Linked DNA regions of Cricetulus griseus. The protein of the gene in region 6 binds, or shares a complex with, the protein of the main gene of each other region. Links are inferred from orthologs where the notes say so. Each region holds a gene or a part of one and is shown on either strand. Other genes may lie near its edges.

Region 1 (4,008 bases), about 160 Mb from region 6:
GATGTCCTTGGAGTCCACGGGTGCCAGATGGCCTGTAGCTGGAGCTACACACCATTTGAGCTGTGTGACATGGGCACTAGAAGTTTAACTCAGGTCCTTTGGAAAAGCAAGCAAATACTCAATGTTGTTTATTCATCTCTCTGGGGCCCCCACACCTAAGGCAACTCATGTTTTGACAGCTGCTTTCTAAGGTATTTGACACTAAACACCGAGGCATACAGAGATCACCTACTTTCCATTTTCCATTCCCCCTCCTCTCCCCCAATCTGGCCAGGTACTTCCCCCTTAATTGTTCCTTTCAAGGACACTGAAAATTCTTAGGTTAAAGGCAAACATAGAAATGGCTCCTCGAGGCAACAATTCAAGAGTGGACTCACATCAGGTTTGGCCAGAAGAGCAGCAGTTGTGTGTCAGGCAGCATCTGGGGCTACAGTTGTGAACCAAACCAAAGAACTTGTGTTGGGGGGGGGGGCAGCACATGAAATTAAGCAGCAGGGCAACAGGTATGTCACCACAAACATTCTAAACCTGTAACATGGGTGGATGTGGACAGTGGAGACAGTAGACCAAAAGAAACCCTCTCCCCTCTCCCCTCACCCCTTAGGGTCAACTCCGCCTACACATTAAGACTTGTGCTCCTCTGAGGAGGGCTGAGGGCAGAAATGAGAGAAATGCAGAACTCTGGCCCTAAATGGCTAAAGGCTAAAGGTTATAGTTGTTCTTCACCACCAATCAAAGGAACCTGAAGTCCTTGAGCAAGCCCTTCATGTCAGCAAGTGTTATCAAATGGGCCAGGGTGGGGGCAGAGGCTTGGACTGCTATACATAAACTTTTATTAAAAAACAAACAAACAAACAAACAAACAAAAACCCTAGTCTTCCTAAGGCTCCCACCATGCTTAAAGCCAGGGACCATAATATTGCATAGGGGAAGTTTAGAGAACAGATAAAGGGTGGTGACCCTGATGGAGTATGTCCAGACCCTGTTCCCTGGAAACTGCACACGGTACTCTACATGGCAAGTGCCTTCGCACAATTAAGGACTTTAGATGGGGAAATTATCCTGAACAAACTGGATGGCTCCCAAAAGTATCACAGGGATCCTCAGGAGAGGGAGAACCCGTAGATGTAGAAGGGCCATTAGAACGCAGCACTGATAAGCAGCTGGTCTCCCCAAAGCCATCCCAATGGCCTGTTGCCAGTGTCAACTGATTTGGGGCATCTCACCTCCAGAACTGTAAAGATAAATGTCTGTTGTTTTAAAGCAAGTCAAATCGTTAAAACAGAAAAGAAACGAAGCCGCTTTAGCTATATAGTTCAGAGAAAGTGACATTTGGCTAAAGATACTTCATTCTCGTGGTTTAAAAAGTGGCAAAGAGCCGGGCGTTGGTGGCACACACCTTTAATCCCAGCACTTGGAGGCAGAGGCAGGCGGATCTCTGTGAGTTCGAGGCCAGCCTGGTCTCCAGAGCGAGTGCCAGGAGAGGCTCCAAAGCTATACAGAGAAACCCTGTCTCGAAAAAAAACAAAAAACAAAAAACAAAAACAACAAAAAAGTGGCAAAGAGCTCTCTTGTAAAACCAAAAGGACGAGTGGCTAAGATTATAATGGTATGGTCCGGGAGAGGGCTCATGTTTTTCCATGTTCATGTGTGAAGGTTTTCAGGCTGTGAGCCGAGCTCTCCAGTTTTCCTGGATGACAGCCTTTGCATCCTTGAACCCAAGGAGGAGGAGGCGCGAGCTCATTGTTCTAGGCGGCTACATTTGTAAGCGTCCCTGTGACTGATTTTTTTTTCTTTCTTTTTTTTTTTTTTTAACTCAGTGGGGTCACTTATTTATTTATTTTCCCACGGTTGTCCTGTAAGCTTTAGTCTACAACCACAGCTCAGGCGTCTGAACCGGGTGAGGCTCCCGGCCTGCGCGCGCTTACCCCGCCGACCACTGCAGCACGTCCACCGGCTGCGTGCGGATGGCAGCCTTGGTGAACTGCTTCAGGATGTCGGGCAGCTCCGGGGGGATGTGAATCTGCTGCGCGCAGAACATTGTGTCGGGCAGCGGCATGGCTCAGGGCAGAGCGCGGCGGCCCGCGACGATCCGATCCGGTGGGCTGCGGGGAGGGGAGACAGGGGTCAGCGGGGGTCAGCGCAGCGGCGGGTCTCCGCTTCTTGCCGGCTCCTTTGCCCGCTCCTGGGGAACTGAGGCCCAACCGCCCTCAGCTCCAGAGCGTGCGCGCGATTGTGGCGTGCGGTATCCAAGGCAACCCGAGCTGCGCAGGCGCGAACAGCCTCAGCGAGCTAAGGGCGACCCGGGCCCTGATCGCGTGACCAGTGACTTACCCGGCCCAGGGGAAAGGGCTGGATATGGGCTTGTTTTCCAGTCTGGACCTCCAAGAGGTCCCCAGCTGTCTTCTGATGAGAACAGGGCCTTGGCCTTGCGCCTCTGCCGCCCCCATAGGCATACACATTTCCAAACCAAAGCGGCTTTGACAAAATGGTTCTCAGACACTGTGGACCCAAGTGCTCACCTATCTGGGGACCACAGAATTTTCTGATGCCTTAGCTATGTTACTAATATGGCTAATCTAAATTATTTATTCTACGGAAAAGCTTAAACGTGGGTATAAAGAGTAAATACTGTCCCTTATCTAGTTAAGGAGGGTCACTTTTACTAACACCTAAATCATGGTCTCTATTCAAAGGATGCAACATTGAAAGACACCCCCCCCCACCCGGGCTGTAGCCTTTCTACTCTGGTCGGCAGCTGGCGGGGCGCGCGAATACATCCTTCCCTCCTTAGCACTCTCCCTCCTTAGCACCCTCCCCGACCTTTTGATCTCTGCAGCTGCTGGCCCTCACTCCCCGCCCCACGCAAGGCCAACCCCCGCCGGATAGCTCCGTCCCAAGGCCAGCCATCTGGACAGGCAGGAGATAAGGCCATTTCGCCTGGCTATTAAACCTTGAGAAAATGCTGATTTGATGCTTTTCGCTTCTGTACTATGCCTGTTTTCCCTTATAAAAAGGACCCTCCTTCCGGGGCTCGGGGCTTGGCAAAACAGAAGCTAAGCCCCGGATATCCGTGTTATTAATAAATCCTCTTGTTCTTACATCCAAAGTTCGTGGTTTCGCTGATTCCTGGGTGTGGGTCTTCTTCCACGAAAGAACCTCTCCGGGGGTCTTTCAACATGATGTAGGTAAAATCGACCTCCTTAAAGCTGGATGACGGGGACTGACTGGCACACAGCGTCGTTTCAGTGGAGCAAGGCTGCCGTTCTTTGGACCAGAGTTGGGAGACCAGCCTGGACAACACTTAATTTCACTAAGTAACCAATTCTGACCCTGCCCCACACTGCCACCACATGACCCCCGTAAAGCGAGAAATACCATAGAACAATCCGAGTGCCGAGACGCTTGCTCTTTATTTTTAAATTTTGAGTTTTTTTTTGAGACAGGGATTCTCTTGTGTAGCCCTGGCTTTCCCGGAACTCACTCTGTAGACCAGACTGGCCTTGAACTCACAAAGATCCTCCTGCCTCTGCCTCCCAAGTGCTGGGATTAAAGGTGTGCACCACCACTGCCGAGCTTGTCCTTTTTATTCTTAGAGAAGTCTCTCGGAGATTTAAATTTTGACTTTTTCTCTCCTTAAATAAACTGAATCTTAAAAAATGTGTGCCTAACCCACTACTGAGCTTCAAAAAAAAAGGTTTGCCTCCATAAGGCTTTAAGTTAGGGCTAATTCGTTTTGCCTCTAATTAGTACTTATCTGTGGTATTAATTAGCTTTTTAGTCTGCAACAACCATCCAGGTCTTCAGTTTTTCAACATCTGCACCCTTGTGAAGAAACCACTGTCCACATATGGGAGTGTCTGCTTTAGCAGACCCACAGACAGCTGCAAGGAACTGGCCTCCTAAGCAAAGGACAAGTGTGTGGCTCCTGAGGAAGCCGCTCCTCCTCCAAGAGTGTCCCAAATAACCAATAAATGGCAAGCAGAAACTTGGACAAAGGGGAAAAGT
Region 2 (3,121 bases), on a different chromosome or scaffold from region 6:
AGTTCAAGGCCAGAGAAACCCTGTACAAACCAAAAAAAGGGGGGGGGGAGAAAAAGAAGGAAAAAACAGGGACCATTTCTGATTCTTTTAGATGTTTCTAAAACACAGAGTAGGCCTCACTAAATACAGTATGTTCTTATTCATTATGGATTAAATTAACATAAGGACTCAGGGCTCCCAAGAAGATTGTGTTGCTCTCTGAAGTAAATGCCGAAGAAAGAGAGGAAAGCAGAGGGCAGGACTCGGAGAACAAGGTAAGGACCCAGCCGTGGGTTGCTGGGAGAGGACCACTGACTCAGAAGCTGCTCTTGGTGATGGGCAGATGCAAGGTGGGCCTTGGAGAGGACAAATCCCACACCTCAAGTTCAGGTACTGTAGTGACTTCATCTCCTTGGAGAAGCCGTCCAGAGTCTCGATCTGGTTGTCTCGGAGATGCAAGGTGGTCAGGTTGCTGAGGTTCTCCAGGCCTTCGATCTTCTTCAGCATGTTCTGAGCCTGCACCCAGCACACAATACATTGACTCAGAGGGGGAGCACAAAGAGGGACGTGGGAAAGGGTGATGAAGCAAAGAAGAAATCCAGGTAGAGAGGGGGGCATGGAGAAGGAGAGTAGGGGTACATAAGAGAGTGTGGTCGAGAGGATAAAGAAGTCCCAAACTAGGTATGGTGGCCCACCCCCCAAATCCTAGTATTCTGGAGGCAGAGGCAGGGAGATTGTAGCCTGGGCTACTTAGTGGGTCTCCAGGCATGCCTGGACTATAGTGTGACACCCTATTTCAAATACCACCCCCAAAAAACAGACAAAGAAGGAATCAGTAGGATTGCTGCATCAACCAAGCCTGACAACCTGATTCATTTGCCAGCACCCACCCAGTGGGAAGAGAACTAACGCCTGCAAGTCATCTTGGACTCCATCTGCATCTCCCTCATAAAGAAGTCACTGTAAAGTGATTTTTTTTTTCTGAGGCAGGGTTTCTCTGTGCTTTGGAGGCTATCCTGGAACTAGCTCTTGTAGACTAGTTCGAGTGGTCTTGAACTCAGACTGTAAATTAATTTTTAATTTAAAAAGAGAAAGAAATTTAAAGACTAGATTTCCCAGAATTACAAAAAATAGGATGATGATAAAAATAATATAAAAAATATGCTACTGGAAACTAGAAATGTATACTAGTTTCTGGGCTAGTTAGGCAGTTTGGTGGTAGCACACTCCTATAGTGTGTACAAAGGCACTGGTTTCAATCCCCAATACCAACAAAACAAAACAAAACAAAAACACACACAAAAAATAAAAGGAAAGGAAGGAAAGAAAAAAAGGTAGACATAGGAAAAGGAAAAGAAGAAAGAAGCTGCTACTACAACAAACGCTCAGCTGTGCTCTCTTGCAGCCCATCCCGCCAAGGCCATCTCTGATTACAGAAGGGCCGCTTGAACCTGCCCTTGGCCCAGGAGGCCCATTAGCTCATCGAGGAGTGGCTGTAGTACCAGTCCAGAAAGCAGCATGCCCAGCCTAAAGGGACAGACCCTTAGAGGCTGACACAACAGTGCACAGCTGTGACCCCAGCTACATAAGGAGTTCAGACCAGTGTAGACTATACAAGGAGACCCTGTCTCAAAAGTAAAGCAAACCTGGGGCCAAGGCAATGGCTCAGCAGTTAAGACCACCTGCTGCTGTTTCCGAAGACCCAGGTTCAGTTCCCAGCACCCACATGGCAGCTCACAACCACCTGTGACTCCAGTTCCAGGGACCTCACCTCCCTCCTGATCTCCAGTGACACCAGGCACACACATGCCACTACACAGACATGCATGCATACATACATACATATATACATACATAATATGGACAAAACACTCATAGACATAAAAGTAAATATTCTTTAAAAGTAAAGTAATAAGCCGGGTGTTGGTGGCGCATGCCTTTAATCCCAGCACTTGGGAGGCAGAGGCAGGCGGATCTCTGTGAGCTCGAGACCAGGCTGGTCTACAGAGAAAGTTCCAGGACAGCCAGAGCTACACAAAGAAACCCTGTGTCAAAAACAAAAACAAAACAAAACAAAACCAAAAGTATAGTTGATTATAATGGTCCATACTGGAATCCTGGCACTTAGGAGGTAGAGGCAGGAAGACCAGGAGGAGTTCAAGGTACTCCTCAACTACATAGTGATTTCAGGGCTATATAAGACCCTGTCTCTGGCCAGGTGGTGGTGGCACACGCCTTTAATCCCAGCACTCGGGAGACTGAGGAAGGTGGATCTCTGAGTTCCAGGCCAGCCTGGTCTATAGAGCAAGTTCCAGAACAGCTAAGACTACACAGAGAAACCCTGTCTTGACCCCAGCAACCTCCAAAGACTCTGTCTCAATAAATAAATAAATAAATAAATAAATAAATAAATAAATACTAAATAAACATTTAAGTGGCCTCCTTAGCCTGCTTTCCATACCTGAATAGCTCATTTTGCAACAGCCTGTATCAAAACATTTTCTCTGCATTTTCCACACAATGTAAATTGTAGTCCTGCTAGATTGGAAGCCTACCTTTCTTGCTCCCTCTCCCTTATTCCCTCCCTTTCACTCTAAGAGACAGAGTCTTATTCTGTAGTCTAGGCTGGTCTCTAACTCTCCGCCTCCCAAGTACTGGGAATATAAGCATAAGCCTGTGTTGTCTTAACATTTCCAGGGTATCAGACGCCGTGCAAGCACTCATCACCCTCATGGTGGTGAAGCTAGCGGCTGAGCCTGCTGGAAGCCAGGGCTGTGCTCCCTTTCTCTGCACCACCCTAGGGCCCAGTGTGCTACCAGGAAGAGATTCTTCAGCTTAGGAAGGTTGAGTCCCAGAGTGCTTTCTATCTGGTTCCCTCGAAGTTCCAGGGTGTGCAGGCTAGTCAGTCTTTCGGGATCCAGTCCAGTCACTTGGTGGATGCGGTTCCCTGCAGAAGAGGAGGGTATCAGACACTCAAAGGTCCAGTGGCAATGTTCAACGTTAGAAATCTTGCCCAACCCTCCATCCTCTCTCCCTCTAATGCAGGGTAGAAGGGGGGGGAGGAACAACCCCAGAATAGTCTCTTTGGAGCCCCAAGGCAAGTGGGCAGGAAGGTTTGTCTGTCTGTACTTTGAGAATGAAT
Region 3 (4,141 bases), on a different chromosome or scaffold from region 6:
TATTCATTGACAATTTCACACATCTAATCAATGCATTTTGATCATATCCAGTCCAAGTTCCTCCTCCCACATGCCTTCAATATAGTCCTTTCTTACCTTCTCTCCTCTCACTGTTTGACTAATAACCTACTGAGTCTAATTAGTGCTGCCTGTTGGAATGGTGGCTGGTTGTACTAATTTAATATTGTATAGGTAGCTATAGCTGCAGTGAATTCATGCCATGTCATATAATGAAGATAGCATTTCGCAGCACTCATTCTCACCCTCTAGCTCTTAAATGCTTTCCATCCCTCTTCTGTGATATTCCTTGAGCCTTGGGGTGGAGATTGATGCAGATGTCCCATTTAGGGTTGAACACTCAAGAGACACTATACTCAGCACTTTGGACCAGTTATGAGCTATATTAACCACTGTCCACTGCAGGGAGAGGCTTCTCTGCTGCCGCTAATTGATCCTCATGCCTCAGCCTCTTGAGGGCCAACATTAGGGACATGTGCCACCTTGACCCACTTCTTTTGATTTCTACAGAGGCTTATCTCTCAGAGTTGTCCCTGAGCCTTACAAAAGACTTAGGACTTTGACTTTTGAGTTGCTCTGGGACTGTTAAAGACTTTAGTGCCAGGCACAGTTGTACATGCCTGTAGTTCCATCACTCAGAGTATGGAGGCAAGAGGATAGCAAGTTCAAGGCCAGCTTAGGCCATACTACAGGAACCTGCCGCAAAAGACAAAACCCAAATCAACAACAAAAGACTTCAGTGACTCTTGAAGATATATCAAATATATTTTTCATGGTGAGGTAAGTACTCACCTTTGGGAGCCAGGGACAGAGTGTTGTGATTCATATCTTAAACATCCCCCCCAAAGTCATATACTGAAGGCTTTTTGGTGGGGCTATGGCAATATTGGGAAATGGCAGAGTCTGTAAGAGGTACAGCCTAGTGGAAGGAAGTTAGGTCATTGGGGTCACACCCTTGGAAAGGACTCTCTCTCTCTCTTTCTCATGTGTGGGGTAACAGTATGTGTCCCTCCCTTACTCTTTTCCTCCTTCCTTCCCTCCACTTCCTGAAGTGAGTTACTCTTACCCACCATGCCACCAGGTACCCTCTCTTACAATGTTTGCCCTCATTATAGGCCCAGAGTGATTGGGCCAAATGGCCATATAGCCAAAATAACTCTTTTCTCCTTTAGTTGATGGTCTCAAGCATTATGTCATTGTACTGGAAAACTACTATAATTGTGATTCAGAAATACTTCATATTTGTTAGAATGGATTCATTTTAAAAGATCTATAGCATTTGTAAACTAGAGCATTTGATTTGGTGTCTCCCAGGTCCCCAGCATGGAAACTGATTACCTGAAGAAATGCTTTGGAAACAGCCTGACCCAGGCATTGGCAGAGGTGGCAAGAGTGCGACCCAGTGACCCAATAGAGTACTTGGCTCTCTTGCTTTACCATTATGGGAATGTGAATAACGATAAAGAAAAGGTGTGCTTATATACTGGGCCTGACTAGGGAGGGTTTGGCTTGCTCAGAAAAGCTTGAAATCCAAGGCAGAGTCCCGAGCTTGCATGGAAAGTTTCTTGGCTCATCCACCTTGTGAAGACTGCTTAGTCTCCGCTACCTCTGATGTAGGACTCTGAGGGGGAAGAAGGGAGTCTAGCTTAGAGGGTTGTAGAGTTGGGTTTGGAGCTACTGGCTAGCTAACCCTTCTAAGAGGAAGAAGTTCAGTGGGTCTGGCAGGTCCAGGCCCATCTCAGGGGAGGGAGGGTTCCTGTTGAAGAGATGTAACCTGATTGTCTCTATCGTATTACTGCAGAAAAGGCAAGAGGAGCTACAGCTAAAGGAAGAGCATGACAGAGTCCTCAAGGAAGCAAATATGACCCAAATACTGAAACAAGAGGAAAATCAGATTCAACAGAACTGTGAGCAGTGTCAACAGGTAGGAAGGAAGAATGGAAAATTTAGCTCAACTGCTCTCAGGCAGGGCTTCCAAGAAATCCTGAAGGCACCTAGCACTGGACAAAGCACACCAAGGCTACCCTTGGTCTGCTTGTCCCTCACAGCTGAACTGGAGGCATAAGCCAGTCACATTGACATCTTGCCAATAAAATACTTGGCAATAGAAAAATGAAATGTAAAATGGCAAATTTATTTTAGATTTCAGAAAATGTTATTGATATGACTGGCTTTAAAAACTTCAGATTTTAAATACTTTTTTCTTTCAAATTCCTTGGAACCCTTTTAAACATTATTCTGTATTTTTCAGAAACCAAATATGCATAATATATGCTAATATGCATATATTTGATATAGTGTTCTACTTAGCATTTTATCCTTAAGTTATTATTATTTGTCAAACATCAGGCCTACCCTCTATGATATAATACAAACATCAGTTATCAACTCCAAGCAGTTCAAAGCAACTCTGTCTATCTTGGTTTGACAAGTAAAACTTTAGTCTCCCACAGTATTTTCTACAACTCCTAAAAATTGGGCCATTTTACATGTACCTGGTTAGAGAACTCTCTCAGCTGTAATATTGGGATTGACACAAGAAGTCTTCTTAATCATCAATATGTCCTTAATATCCTTAGTGAGGTCCAGCTTTGCTGTCCCAAAGCCAACTTTGTGCTTTAAAACACTGTGCTTGTTTTAATTTGATGCTAAGATGCTCAGCAATAATACACTCTTATAACCAATAGGCTTATTTGTAAGGCTGAATGTTTTGTCAATAAATTGAAAAGAAGACACACCAGATTAAGAAGTCTGGGTACATGGTAAGTTCAAGGCCAGCTGGACAAATAAAAATCCTAAAGAACTGAGACCATATCACTCAGTTTTGGAGATTCAGCTAGTATGTAGAAGTGCTAAATTCAATCCCTTAGACTGGAACAAGACAGAGAGAGAGAGTGAGACGGGGGGGGGGGGGGGGCGGGGGCGGGGAGTCACTACATAGCCCATACTGTGATCTTCTTGCCTCAGCCTCCCAAGTACTAGTTAGAATCACAAACTACCATACCCATCAGGAAATTAGTTTGATAGTACTTTTTAATAAGCCCATGAGGCCAATCTATGCACTCCAAGGTAGCTATGAATACGGGCAAATGTATTGCAATATATTTTTGTGTAACCCCATTGTATAGGTATGAAACTTGAACTTTGTAGTTGGCCATGTTTTGTAATATTAAAGGATGAACATTCATGAAAGGGATCTCGCCCTCCAGGGTTCATTTTTTGAACAACTGAGAAGGAAAAGATGAGGCACATTAAGCAAAGTCCTCATTACTTGTCTATTTCCCAAAACTGTTTGTGAATAGAAAGAAATATGGAAAGTAAGACACGACTCCCCATACCACTGTGTTTTATGCTGCATTACTGTAGAAAGCTTTGCTTACACTAACAGTGTGAATTAGCCCTTTGTATTCCACTCAGGTTTTTGCACTCTATGGCTAGGATTAGATAAACCAAAAGTATGCCATTCTTTTCCCAAGTGTGAGAGATCCTTGTAAGGGAAGGGGGGAAAGGGGAGCCAGTGATGCCCAAACTATGCAAGCTCTTTCTTTGGAAGGTGTTTATAGGCCAGTTATAGTCACAGACATTGATCCCCTTTGTTAGACGGAATGACAACAACCTGAGACTGAACCAAGCTGAATGGATCGCTTACCTGGCCTCCTGACTGATGTCAGTTAATGTCCAAATCAAATTGAAAAGATTAGGCAAAGAGGTGGGAAGACAGCAATAAGACAACTTGCAAGTTCTGGCTCCTGGATGACTTAGTGTGGATTTCAGATACTCGTGTGTCACTAGTAGAGGAAAACTTGGCCTGGGATACATTTGGCACTATTTCAGCTGGCCTGTGGTTTACTGGATACCTTACGCGCACTTTCTTGCAAGGTTTGTCCTTCATATCTTTTGTTTTTGCTTTTGTTTGATTAGGATTGTTTGGCTTGGGTTTGGGGGAAGTTTGTGTTTGTTTGCTTTGTTTTTGAAATTTTTAAAAAAGATTTATTTATTTTATTATTATGTATACAGTGTTCTGTCTGCATGTATGCCTGCAGGCCAAAAGAGGACACAGATCTCATTACAGATGGTTTTGAGCCACCATGTGGTTGCTGGGAATTGAACTCAGGACCTCTGG
Region 4 (3,500 bases), on a different chromosome or scaffold from region 6:
CAAAATACTCATACACATAACATAAAAGTAAAATTTTTAAAAATTGGTTAACACCTACACATTTGGTCTTCTTTGCATGAAGGAAAAGTATTCCGTGTATTATAAATATTATATATTTAATATATTTAGATAAATATATTAAGTTTAATATTCATTAAATATATTTAAAATATTATATATTGATAAAGTCATATACACCAGACTTTATCAACATGAAAACTTCTGCGACAACACATTTTGATACTCACATCAGATAACAATGGCTCTTCAAGCTCTTCCACTCTGCTCAAGTTAGGTGCTCCGTAGCGATCACTGATTTCAGCTAGGGTTTTGCCTGAGTCCATCATTGAGTCCTACAGTCATAAAAGTCAGTTTTTACTTTTGCATGTCTTCAAAATGAACCTGTTATTTTTCTGGCAATTTGATATAAAATTTCTGAATTAAGCACACAAAATCAACATTGTTAAGTAGTAGAATTCATCAATGGCTTTTAATGATACCAGAATTCTATCTAGTAAGAAGCACTAAAAATTATCTTTAAATGCATTTGGAATTTCAAAATGCACTTGTAAGTAATTCTATGTGCAATATAACAGGACATTGTATCTTCAAAATATACAAGTACATATTTCATGTTCAAATTTTATCCACTTTGAGGTTTATTTCAAAGCACCACACAGCTGTGACTTACCATTAGAATACTAATTTGGACTATCACTGTTATAGGGCTTTTGACTTTGCTTTTGTTTGTTAAAACAGGGTCTCACTATGTAGCTTTAGGTGTGCCAGGAATCACAACAACCAAGCCTCAGGCACTGTGATCCTGTGTGTGCCCTACCATATCCATCCTGGACCAGCACTTTTGACAATGTTCTTATTAAAACTTTAGCCACTGATATTTAAAACTTAGGTTTCTACTCTTAAACTGTACTCATTTCACATAACACACAGTAGCTATTCCTTCTCACCTCTTGCTGTAGGGACTCATCACCCTTAGCCCCACTTTCTGTGCTTCTCTCCTAAGAAAAAATTAAGAAAACACTGAATATTGTTTGTTTCTATTTCATGTTTAGATTTTAAGAATTTTTATTTTTATAAAGTGCTATGATCAGTTTAACAGCAAAATCCATGTCACTTTCCAAGGAGTAATCAGAGTAATCAGAATACAGGGCACACACACGCACACACACACACACACACACACACACACACACAAAAGGATCACAGTTTCATTTACTATATACTAATAAGAGATAATGGTTCATAATTAAATAAAATTCTTTCAAAAATGAGGCTGACCAGAGGTGAAGGTGTAAGACCCTCGAAAAGCTGATGCTTCCAGAATCTTAGCCCAGGACTGCGGCCACCCCAATCACAGAATGGAGGCGAAAGCTTGATGCAAATTGCATGAGGCTTTATTGTAGTTTAATGAGCTAACCCCATGTTAGCTCGGGCCTTTGACCCACCTACCATGGCGGATGGCTAGCAAAGACAGTTCGAAGCCGCTGCACAAAGATCTTTATAGGGCAGCATAAGGGGAGTGTCTAGGGGTATGCACAGGCTCAGGATTGGCGTGCCTCCAGGCTTGGAGGGTTTGCCCTGTGTTGATTGGTCAACTGGTTGTTATGGCCCATAGGCCCTCCCAGGGTGGTTGCTATGCTTTGTGTGTCATTGCTGTGCGCTTGTCCGTAAAGCACACCCAGGGTCGTAAAGCATAGTGCCACCAGCTAACTTCTGATTGGCTCCTTGTCACGAGGCAGGCATCTGACTTTCTAGTGACTAACTTCTGATTGTTTCCTTGTCACAAGGCAGGCATCTTACTTTCTAGTGACTAAGACAAGGTCATAGAGCACATGTTTGGTCATTATGGCTGCCAAAAGGGAAGCTGGTCCCTTCAAAGGGTAAATCTCAATTGCTGAAGGCATCATGATGCAGTTCAGACACAGAGCCCTGAGCTGAAACTGACCTGAGTACCTTTTTCCCTGGGGACAAGCTTTTGTGATACCAGAAGGTGCCATGAGAGCTTCAAAAGGAAAGAAGCAACCAACTGTCCTAGCCAGTTGTGATGTCCATGAACCACAAGCCCAGCATGGCACAATAACCTTAAGAGTGCAGTAGTAACACACATGCCTTACTGGTTTAACAAGAGTGGCATCCTGCTTGGTAACTGGAAACCTAGCTAACTACTCAGGTCAGGCAAGTTCACAGATCTTGAAGAAGAACTTAGAACCACTTTACTAAGCCAGCATAATCCCTAACAACACTCGAAACATTTGTCCTTCAACCCATAGACAAATGTAGTCTTCACACCACATTAAGGAAACTTCTCTTTGCAATAACAGACAGAGACCATTACAGAAAACCACATTAAATTAAATTTAAACCACATTAAAATAGCATTCAATTAAAATAAAACTGCATTCAAATTGCATTCAAATACAATTAAAATGCAGAGTTGTGGGGTCCAGTTCCAGTGTATACATCTACAAAACAAGTCATGCACCTAAGGCTCAGGGGACATGGAAGTGGGTGGAAAGATTGTAAGAACCAGAGAGTAGGGGGCTATAGCGGCAGAAGCTATATCCATAAAGTCTCCCAATATGGCTGCATACACATGAGCTGGCCAAGGACAATAATAGACATGTCAAAGTGGCCAGGGGAAAGCCCATGAGACTTCAACCCTGCATGAAAACTACAGGCACCCAAAGAATGCTAAGAGTGGGAGAAACTGTCTCCCCCAGGGAAAAGCACACTAATTGGTTGTCTGATGCCAAATGGTCAGCCCTGAAAACGTACACAAAAGTAGCATTATACAGACATGGCAGGTTTTGTTTTGGAATATATATGTGTGTGTGTGTGTGTGTGTGTGTGTGTGTGTGTGTGTGTGTAACAAAAATTAATGAAAAGGGTGCTATAAATTTGAAAGAGAGCAAGAAGAGGTATATTGGAGGGTTTAGTGGGAGGAAAGGAAATAGAGAAATGATATAATTACATTATGATCTCAAAAATAAAAAAGAAAATATATAAAACATACATTGTATGCAATTTTCTAAGACTGAATAAAAATATTAGGAATTTTAAAAATGGGCTGAATGAAATGTTATAATTGAAGCAAAAGTTCTAGCAACTATGTAAAGCAACAACATTAATGTCTTAGATTAAGAGATTTTTAAACAGAGGTTGAGTTTGGGCTTTATATACAGGAAAAAAATGAGTCCACATTCCTAAATGAATTCACCATGTCCAAGTTACTGTCCAATGCCCAAGTGTTCTCCAGAGGTCCTTAGCAACACTCATATGCTGCAGGGGAAATGTTCAGCCTGACATGAAAAGCCACTCTTCAATGAGAAGGTTCTTCTAACCAAGCCAACCTACTATGACCTCCATTTTTTCATCAGTAGGACGGTGCAAAAAAAGTCACATGACTCATACTGGGATGAGGCATTTTGGCAATTGGAAGATTACTCAGCTTGTGACTGTCCATATGGCCACACTAATAA
Region 5 (3,500 bases), on a different chromosome or scaffold from region 6:
CTCCATGTCCACCCTGTGGCCATGCACACACTCCTTGGGATGTGGTCTGGAAATACCCTGGAATTGACTTCATTTCCAGGGAGACTCATCTCACTCCTACTCCTTTACTTTCCACAAGGGTGGGGCTGGACTGAGAAGGGGAGGATCCTGTCCCCATGAGGTGGCTGCAGAGGTGACTTCTGTACAAGAAGGGTGAATCTCCTCCATTATTCATTTCAAATTTCAGATTCTAGAGTTCTAAAATCTAAAATTACTGAGTTTCTTGGGCTAAGGTTTGATAGTTCCATCAGAAAGGATCGCTGAGTTGTGGGGAAGGGGAGGTGACAGGGAGCTTTGTAGGGTTAGATGGTGCATGCTAAGAGGAGCAAGCTTACCCTTCGGGAGATCTTAATCTTTTTGGTACAGCCAAAGAATAAGTCCTCCAGGGACAAATAGAGGTCTCGTTCAATTGGAGGGTCTTGTTTCTGGACTCCTCGGCCCCGAAGCCCCCCAAAGTTCAAATCTATATCATTTCCTTCTGCATCAAAAAATTCTAAAGGAGATAGGAAAATGAGTAACAGAATTGATGTCCAAAGACACAAATCAGACAGATGGCAGACAAAAAGACAGACAGACAGACAGACAGACAGACAGACAGACAGACACACACACAATCCTACGCTGTATTCCCTTGAACCTCTTCAGTGCCCAAGGTTCAGCTCATCATTCCCACCTCTCAGAGCCACAGAACAAGGAACCATTTGTTTCATTTCATTTGGTTTTAGCCTTGAACTCAAGGCAATCCTCCTGTTCCAATCTCCTGAATGATGGGACAACAGGTGTGAGCCACCACACTTGGCTTCAAGAAGCCTACCATTAGCTATTAGCTACAGACCAGTGAGCATCAGGCCTGCCAGGCCCCAGTGCTTCCTGGGACTCCCACTGAGCCAGGTGCTGGCAGCTCCTGCTTCGTGAACGAGCTAAGGCATCACTGTAAGTGGGAGACCCTGATAGTGCCGAGAAGACTCCATTCAGACAGAATGGGTCAGAACCACCTGTCCACTCTACTTCCCCAGGCCCTACTGGCCCCTCTCTGTCCACTCCCCCATGACTGTTCTAGACAAGCAGACTCAAGATCTCTGGGATGACATGAAGGACTTGGAGGTGGATGGCAACTGTGAGTGGTCACCAGCGTGCCTCAGTCTCCCTTCCTCACCCTCATCTACCTCTGCCTGCCCTCCATCCAAAGCCTGCCTGATGTCCTTGCCTTTAGCCTGGTGGCTGTAAGAGAGATACCTTCCAAGTCTGCTTGGAGTACTGTAATCCTTTAGAATTCAGTTTTTCAGTCTGTGGTATGGGGTAATGCTTGTCCTGCCTACACCATTAAGATGAACAGCTAAACCCTGGGAGAGCCTGCAGTGAATCAGGCTCTGTACTCAGCGACTTTCCTCTTTACTACTTCATTGCTGGAGAGGCCAACAGAATGCTCACAGCTCCATAGCTGGTTGAGTAATGGAGTTGGGACCTATACCACATGACCACTTGGCCACAGCCTTGGTCACTATGATATATTGCTAGCTGTGGGCCCTTTGTAGACTGTGGAGTGAGAGGGCCCTTTGTACTCTGGAGTCAGAGGTGGCTGTTATGTACCCTGCTTCAGGTGGTTAAGGCCATGGAATGAGTGTGTCAAGCTAGATGGTAAAGTGTTCATTAACAGTAGGAGATTTGTGCAGGGATTTAAGATGTGATGGCCGGTAGCCAGTGTCACGGCTCATCCAGTAAAGGCACTTGTCACCACCAGTGCCTGAGGTGGAAGGGGACAACTGACTCATGAGGGTGGTCCTCTGATTTACACACTCTAAATAAATTAGTGAAAGTTCTTTTTTAAAAAGAATCAAGGAAGTAGTTCCATGATAAAGTCTTCTCAACCTTCCTAATGCTGCGACCCTTTAATACAGTTCCTCATGTTGTGGGCATACCCCAACCATAAAATTACTTTCATTGCTGCTTTGTAACTATAATTTTGCTACTGTTATGAATTGTAATGTAAATATTTTTGAAGATAGAGGTTTGGCAAAGGCGAAGTGACCCACGGGTTGAGAACCACTGCTCTGACTATATAAGGCCCTGATTTCAATCCTCAGCACTGTAGAATATCTTTAAAGACAGAGGAGATTTCTGGAAGGACATGGGGGATGCTAACATAGAATGGCTGCATCAAGGAGAAGAAAGGAAATGGAGGGCTAGAATATTTTCAGTAAGTTCCATTTGAATTTCGGTGTTGTGGTTTACATGTGTGATCCCAGCACTTGGGAAGCTGGAGAATTTGAAGCCTGCCTGGGCTAAAGAGAGAGTTCCAGCCTCAGATAAAGAAATGAACAATTCTTTTTCTCTCCATGTACTGTGTTTATTTCTCAAAGAGATAAAACAAGGCTGGATGTGGTGACTCACACCTGTAATTCTAGCACTTGGGTAGCTAAACCAGGGTTGCCATGAGTTCAAAGCCAGCTAGACTACAAAATGAATTTGGAGCTACATGCACTACAGAATGAGACCAAACCTAGGAGGCTGCAGAGACGGCTCAGTGGTTAGAGCTCTCGAAGAGCTCTTGCAGAGAAGCCAGATTCAGTTCCCAGTACCCACATGACGACTTACGACCATCCCTGATTCTAGTTCCAGGGGATCTGATGCCTTATTCTGACCTCCTTGGGCACCAAGCACACACATGTGCACATTTCTACAGGCAAATAAAATAAACAAATCTAAAATTAAAAAAAGAAAGAAAACTGGGTGTGGTGGCACATGACTGTAATTCCAGCACTTGGGAGTCAGGGGATCAGGAGTTTAAGGTCATTCTAGGCTAAACAAAGAGTCCAAGGCTGGCCTGGGATACATATTTCAATAATAATAATAATAATAATAATAATAATAATAATAATAATAATAATTAATAATATAATAATAATAATACAGAACAAATAAAAAGCAGCCAAACATAACCATCAAGAAAGGTATTTTCTGTAGCTGTGTTCTTTACCAGTAAGCAAGGGGTAGGCTGGGATTCTTACCACTGAAGGGGTTGTCTCCCCCAAAAAACTCATGAAACACTTTATCAGGATTGCCATGGAAGACGTAGCCTGTTGTCCATGGAGTCTGGGATCCAAACTCCAGAGGAATCCCACCTTTCAGGCCTTCCTCGCCAAACTTGTCGTAGATGCCTCTCTTCACAGCTGTGGACACATGTGACCTTGAGGAGGGATCCGGGGTGTGTGTGACTGGAGAGGCTGGGGGGCAGTCAGAGAGCTCAGGACGGTGATGGGCAAGGATAGCTCTTGCAACCTGCTGCCTAGAAGTCTCTACAAGTTAGCATGTCAGAGTTATTCATCTATCCTATAGATTCTATAGGATGGCCAGACAGCCCAGAAAGCCAATGAGAAAAATTCTACTGGGATGGGCTTTTGGGAGGACCTAGGAGACTGAGGGTCAGGCACACACCTGGGTTTGGCCTAGTTCAGTCTTGG
Region 6 (4,244 bases):
CCCACCCTTCTTTTGAAAAAACAAAACAAAAAACTTATAAAATTTAAAATTAAGCCCGGCATAATGGCACACTGTGTGCAATCCCAACACTAAGGAGCCAGCAGTAGCTACATAGTGAAATCTCCTCAGAAAACAAAACACAACAAGGTGATGAGCACCTTAGACCCAACTTGAATAAAGGAGAGGCAGGGTGTTCACTGTGTGCTGGAGGACATCCTGAACTAAATAGCAAGAGTCTCCTCTCTCTCTCTCTCTCTCTCTCTCTCTCTCTCTCTCTCTCTCTCTCTCTCTGTGTGTGTGTGTGTGTGTGTGTGTGTGTGTGTGTGTGTCTGTCTGTCTGTCTCTCTCTCTCTCTCTCTCTCTCTCTCTCTCTCTCTCTCTCTCAGGGTCTCATGTAGCCCAGGCTAGCCTCAAGCTCACTATGTAGCTGGGGATGACCTCTTTAAACTTGTGATCCTCTGGCCCCAATTCCCTGAATACTGAACTCCAGGTTGTATACTGTTCTGGCAATGGAAGCCATGGTTTCATAATTTCTTGGCAGGCATTCCCCCAGCTGAGCTGCATCCTCAGCCTGAGAACCTGGGTTTTTAAGTATCTTTGTTCCCCAATTGTTTGTTTAGGCACTTTTTCTTCTTGAAGAAGTTACAAACATAGTTTAATGTTTTTTTGTTAGGGGGGATTGAATCCGAAGCCTCATGCTTGTTAGGTCTGTGCTCTACCTCTAAGCCACACCCTAGCCCCACTTACAAGCTTAATTTTTAAATATTTAGATCCATTTAGAGTTATCTCAGAATAAAAATAGTCAATTTTCTTCACAACATTTATTAAAGACTTTGTGTTCATCTGAATATTTCTTGTACCAGAGTTGTCAACTCTGTCAACATTCTTCCCCACATCATCTCTGAGTGTGTTTGTGTGTGTGTGTATGTGTAGGATATGCATGTCTGTGTGTGTCTGTATATACACACATAAGTGGGGGTGCAGGTGCATATATGTGGAGCCAGATACCCACATTGGAGACTAGCCTCAGTTGCTGACCACCTTGGATCTCCCACTGAACCTGAATCACCAACTTGACAAGACTAGTGGGCTCAAGAGCTCCAGGGTCCTCCTGTCCTGCCTCCCCAGTACTGGGATTACCTACAGGTGTCCACCACCACACCTGCCTTTTACATGGTTACTGGGGATTCGAACTCAAGTCCTTGTGCTTGCTCAGCAAACACTGTGACACAAACCCCTCTCCAGTTCAGTTTTCTTTATTTTAAAATACTGGCAGAATTGATAATATGATGATAATCTGATACTATATAATTTTTGCTGTTGCTTTTTCGAGACAGGGTCTCACTATGTAGCTCTGATTGTCCTGGAACTCTGTAGAGCAGGCTAGCTTCAAATTCACAGAGATAAGCCTACCTCTGCCTCCCGAGTGCTGTGATTAAAGGCATGAACCATTACAGTTGGCTTTACATAAAAAACATTTACGATAGGGTCTCACTATGTAGCCCTGGCTGGCCAGAAACTTATTGTGTAGACCAGGCTGGCCTTGAACTCACAGACATACACCTGCTTCTGCCTCACAAGTGCTTGGAGTAAAAGCACCACACTAAGCTATATACATTTAAGAGATTAAAAAACCAGTAGTTCAAGTAAAATTTAACAAAATATTTAAAATGTTAAGTTTTATTTGATATATTTATACATTCTGTCTTCAGTTGGAGACCTTATCATACTAGAGGACAGTTTGAAACTCTGTGAAGGCCAAGATGGTAGGGAACTCCAGTCTTACCCTACCTATGGATGGTATCACAAGCTTACAGCAGCACCTCCAGGCCCTGGGTCCTCTGTACCCCTGGCTGGTTTAGGACTCCCTGTGTAATACAAGCTGACCACTCAATGTCCTCTGGAGGGCCTGGCACCATGACCATGTTTACAAACTGCAAGACAAATATTCATCTAAAACATTAAATGTTTTCTGGGCAGTGGTGGCCATACACACCTTTAATCCCAGCACTCAGGAGGCAGAAGCAGGAGCAAGTGGATCTCTGAGTCTGAGGCCAGCCTGGTCTACAGAGTGAGTTCCAGAACAGTCACAATCAGGGCTACTTAGAGAGACCCTGGTTTTTGGGTTTTGTTATTATTTCGTTTTTTTAAATAACCCTACGAACACTAGAGAACTTATCTATGCACAGGAATATTACACATAACTTAGAAGGGATAAGTAGATTCTGATTTATTGACCCAGAACTTTGCCAAAGAGACTCTGTGAGGAAGTCAGAGAGGATCACTTCATCTTGTGGGGAAAATCTTTCAAACACAGAGAAACCCCTGGGAGAAGTTAAGGGAAGGAAAAGGCAATTTGGCTTCTTTTGTGTATTATTCTGTATCTTTTGGAAGTGTGAAAAAATAAGCTATTACGTGTTACTTGTTTGTTTTGGGGACAGATCTCAGAGAGCTGTGGCTGATCTGTCAACTTTGAAGTCACTGCATAGCTGAACTCCTGATCCTCCTGCCTCCACCTCCCTGGTACGGAGAATACAGGCATGAGCCTATCTGTCCAGATTGCATACAACCTTTATATTTAGAAACGTAAATTCAATGTTACTACAGATATAAATGGGTGGGGACATTTATATAAGTATAGTGCAAACTAATAAGAGTCGCCAGAAGTTACCTGAATGATGGTGAATCCAGATCTGAGAATAATGTCGCGTATCTCATCTTCTTTGTCAACAACATCTGGCTTGATAATGGCTAGGGTTTTTTCTACATATATCTGAGGCAGGGGCATAGACACCTCCATTCTGGCGTTTCCCGGAATAGTTTACTAATTTCCTGACCGGGTATCCACTGCAATGACACGCGTCCTCGTCCCAAACAACCCGTGGTAATATTTGGTGCTGGGCTTGATTAATTTGTGAAAACAGAAACTGCCGTGTTTCCCGACAAGCAGTCCTGCAAGAATATGACTTGTTCAGAGCCCAAGTTGAGCCCTGGCCGCCTCACTGCGGCATCAGTGCCGCTCTCCAGGGGTAGGGGAAGGCCCTAGCCCGCTGCCCTAGCGAAGGGTCCCCACCCCTCGGCGACCACTTTGTACAGTCCTAGGAGTGACCGCAAGGCAGAGTCCCCAAGTCCTTAGGAAATCTCCAGGCCGAACCCTCCCAGTTCTCATCTCCGTTCAGGTGTTGTCAAAACCTGTTGCTAAGAGACCTGAAGCTGGTTTTCCAACGGTGGCTGCAAAGGGCCAATCCCAGCAGCGTATTTTCAGTCTCTATTTTAATCTAGGGTAGCAATTAGCCGTGAGGATTTTATTCTTTTTGAGTCTTAGAGTACTAGACATATTTCTAACGTTTTTCCCATAATTTTAAAAACAACTTTGTTTATTATGTGGTGATGGAGTGTGTGTGTGTGTGTGTGTGTGTGTGTGTGTGTGTGTGTGTGTGTGTGATGTGGATTTAAGAAAACAACTTCGTGTGTAGCCAAATCTTTCCGGGTCTATGGTTTCCAGGAATGAACCTCATGTGGTCGGGCTTGCATGCAAGCCTCTTTATCCACTGAGCCCTAGAGTCAGCCCTTCTCAAATTGATCTACACTTTGTAAATAAGACAAATCAGACACTTCTTTCAGCCCACTCCATTCCCTCCCAGACACTGTATGAAAGATAAATGTCAAGTTTATTTATTCTTGATATACTTTCTCTTCCTTCCTTCCTTCCTTCCTTCTTTTCTTTTCTTTTTTTCAAGACTGGGTTTCTCTGTGTAGCTTTGAAACTTGTTCTGGCACTCACTCTGTAGACTGGCCTGGAACTCACATCGATCCTTCTGCCTCCCAAGTGCTGGGATTAAAAGTGTGCGCCACCACTACCTGGCTCATTCCTTTTCCTTTTCCTTTTCTTTCTTTTTTTCTTTTTGTGGTGGTGGTGTGGTGGTGTGGTGGTGGTGGTGTGGTGGTGGTGATGGTGGTGGTGGTGGCGGTGGTGGTGGTGTTGTTCAAACTCAGGGCCCATGCTTGCTGAGTGCTCAGTCACTGAGCAACATTCCAGCATATTCCTTCTTTGTTTCATTCACCACCTGATGCTGTCCCCTTCAGTTGCAGCTCTTTAATCATTTAAAACTGTCTTTATAAGGTCAGTGGCACATATCTCTAATCCCAGCACTCCTTTGGAGATAGATTTCCAGGAAAGCCTGGCTGCCTCAAAAAAAAAAAAAAAAAAAAAAAAAAAAAAAAGAAAAAGGAAAGCAAAAATC

The links.
Region 1: Nme5 (region 6) and Ropn1l share a complex: the UniProt entries of both Homo sapiens proteins name them as parts of the axonemal radial spoke complex. The link is inferred for Cricetulus griseus from reciprocal best matches to the Homo sapiens genes NME5 and ROPN1L.
Region 2: Nme5 (region 6) and Lrrc23 share a complex: the UniProt entries of both Homo sapiens proteins name them as parts of the axonemal radial spoke complex. The link is inferred for Cricetulus griseus from reciprocal best matches to the Homo sapiens genes NME5 and LRRC23.
Region 3: the proteins of Nme5 (region 6) and Dydc2 are in contact, whole or in part, in a cryo-EM structure (PDB 8X2U), measured with the Mus musculus proteins. The link is inferred for Cricetulus griseus from reciprocal best matches to the Homo sapiens genes NME5 and DYDC2. Residues at the interface, in NP_542368.2 of Mus musculus: Arg140, Ala145, Val146, Ile147, Ile151, Pro152, Ala156, Ala157, Tyr160, Ile161, Tyr164, Val165, Thr168, Leu169, Leu173, Leu176, Cys177, Lys180, Pro181, Asp183, Pro184, Tyr185, Leu186, Leu188, Ala189, Asp190, Leu192, Met193, Asn196, Pro197; in NP_001347537.1 of Mus musculus: Asp2, Tyr5, Leu6, Cys9, Phe10, Gly13, Leu14, Leu18, Val21, Ala22, Arg23, Val24, Arg25, Pro26, Asp28, Pro29, Ile30, Glu31, Leu33, Ala34, His35, Leu37, Tyr38, Tyr40, Arg41.
Region 4: Nme5 (region 6) and Dydc1 share a complex: the UniProt entries of both Homo sapiens proteins name them as parts of the axonemal radial spoke complex. The link is inferred for Cricetulus griseus from reciprocal best matches to the Homo sapiens genes NME5 and DYDC1.
Region 5: the proteins of Nme5 (region 6) and Dnajb13 are in contact, whole or in part, in a cryo-EM structure (PDB 8WZB), measured with the Mus musculus proteins. The link is inferred for Cricetulus griseus from reciprocal best matches to the Homo sapiens genes NME5 and DNAJB13. Residues at the interface, in NP_542368.2 of Mus musculus: Glu52, His53, Asn56, Met193, Lys199, Pro200, Lys201, Leu202, Cys203, His204, Phe205; in NP_705755.2 of Mus musculus: Thr156, Lys157, Lys158, Thr181, Ile182, Asp183, Arg185, Trp188, Arg189, Gly191, Thr192, Arg193, Ile194, Thr195, Phe196, Glu197, Pro281.

Annotation. Positions count from the first base shown.
Region 1 is NC_048595.1:361,604,635-361,608,642, forward strand, and holds the start of Ropn1l (ropporin-1-like protein), read right to left. Parts: upstream 2,801-4,008; 5' UTR 2,060-2,800; coding exon 1,929-2,059; intron 1-1,928. UniProt on the Homo sapiens protein: Functions as part of axonemal radial spoke complexes that play an important part in the motility of sperm and cilia. Important for male fertility.
Region 2 is NC_048601.1:21,631,610-21,634,730, reverse strand, and holds part of Lrrc23 (leucine-rich repeat-containing protein 23), read right to left. Parts: intron 2,927-3,121; coding exon 2,796-2,926; intron 496-2,795; coding exon 359-495; intron 1-358. UniProt on the Homo sapiens protein: Essential for sperm motility and male fertility. Plays an important role in the proper assembly of the third radial spoke (RS3) head and the bridge structure between RS2 and RS3 in the sperm flagella.
Region 3 is NW_023276807.1:179,057,807-179,061,947, forward strand, and holds the start of Dydc2 (DPY30 domain-containing protein 2), read left to right. Parts: upstream 1-1,341; coding exon 1,342-1,488; intron 1,489-1,819; coding exon 1,820-1,942; intron 1,943-4,141.
Region 4 is NW_023276807.1:179,038,073-179,041,572, forward strand, and holds part of Dydc1 (DPY30 domain-containing protein 1), read right to left. Parts: intron 2,327-3,500; coding exon 2,309-2,326; intron 1,015-2,308; coding exon 969-1,014; intron 354-968; coding exon 249-353; intron 1-248. UniProt on the Homo sapiens protein: Functions as part of axonemal radial spoke complexes that play an important part in the motility of sperm and cilia. Plays a crucial role during acrosome biogenesis.
Region 5 is NC_048596.1:99,008,789-99,012,288, reverse strand, and holds part of Dnajb13 (dnaJ homolog subfamily B member 13), read right to left. Parts: intron 3,336-3,500; coding exon 3,048-3,335; intron 533-3,047; coding exon 375-532; intron 1-374. UniProt on the Homo sapiens protein: Functions as part of axonemal radial spoke complexes that play an important part in the motility of sperm and cilia.
Region 6 is NC_048595.1:202,906,802-202,911,045, reverse strand, and holds the start of Nme5 (nucleoside diphosphate kinase homolog 5), read right to left. Parts: upstream 2,801-4,244; coding exon 2,672-2,800; intron 1-2,671. UniProt on the Homo sapiens protein: Functions as part of axonemal radial spoke complexes that play an important part in the motility of sperm and cilia. Does not seem to have nucleoside diphosphate kinase (NDPK) activity.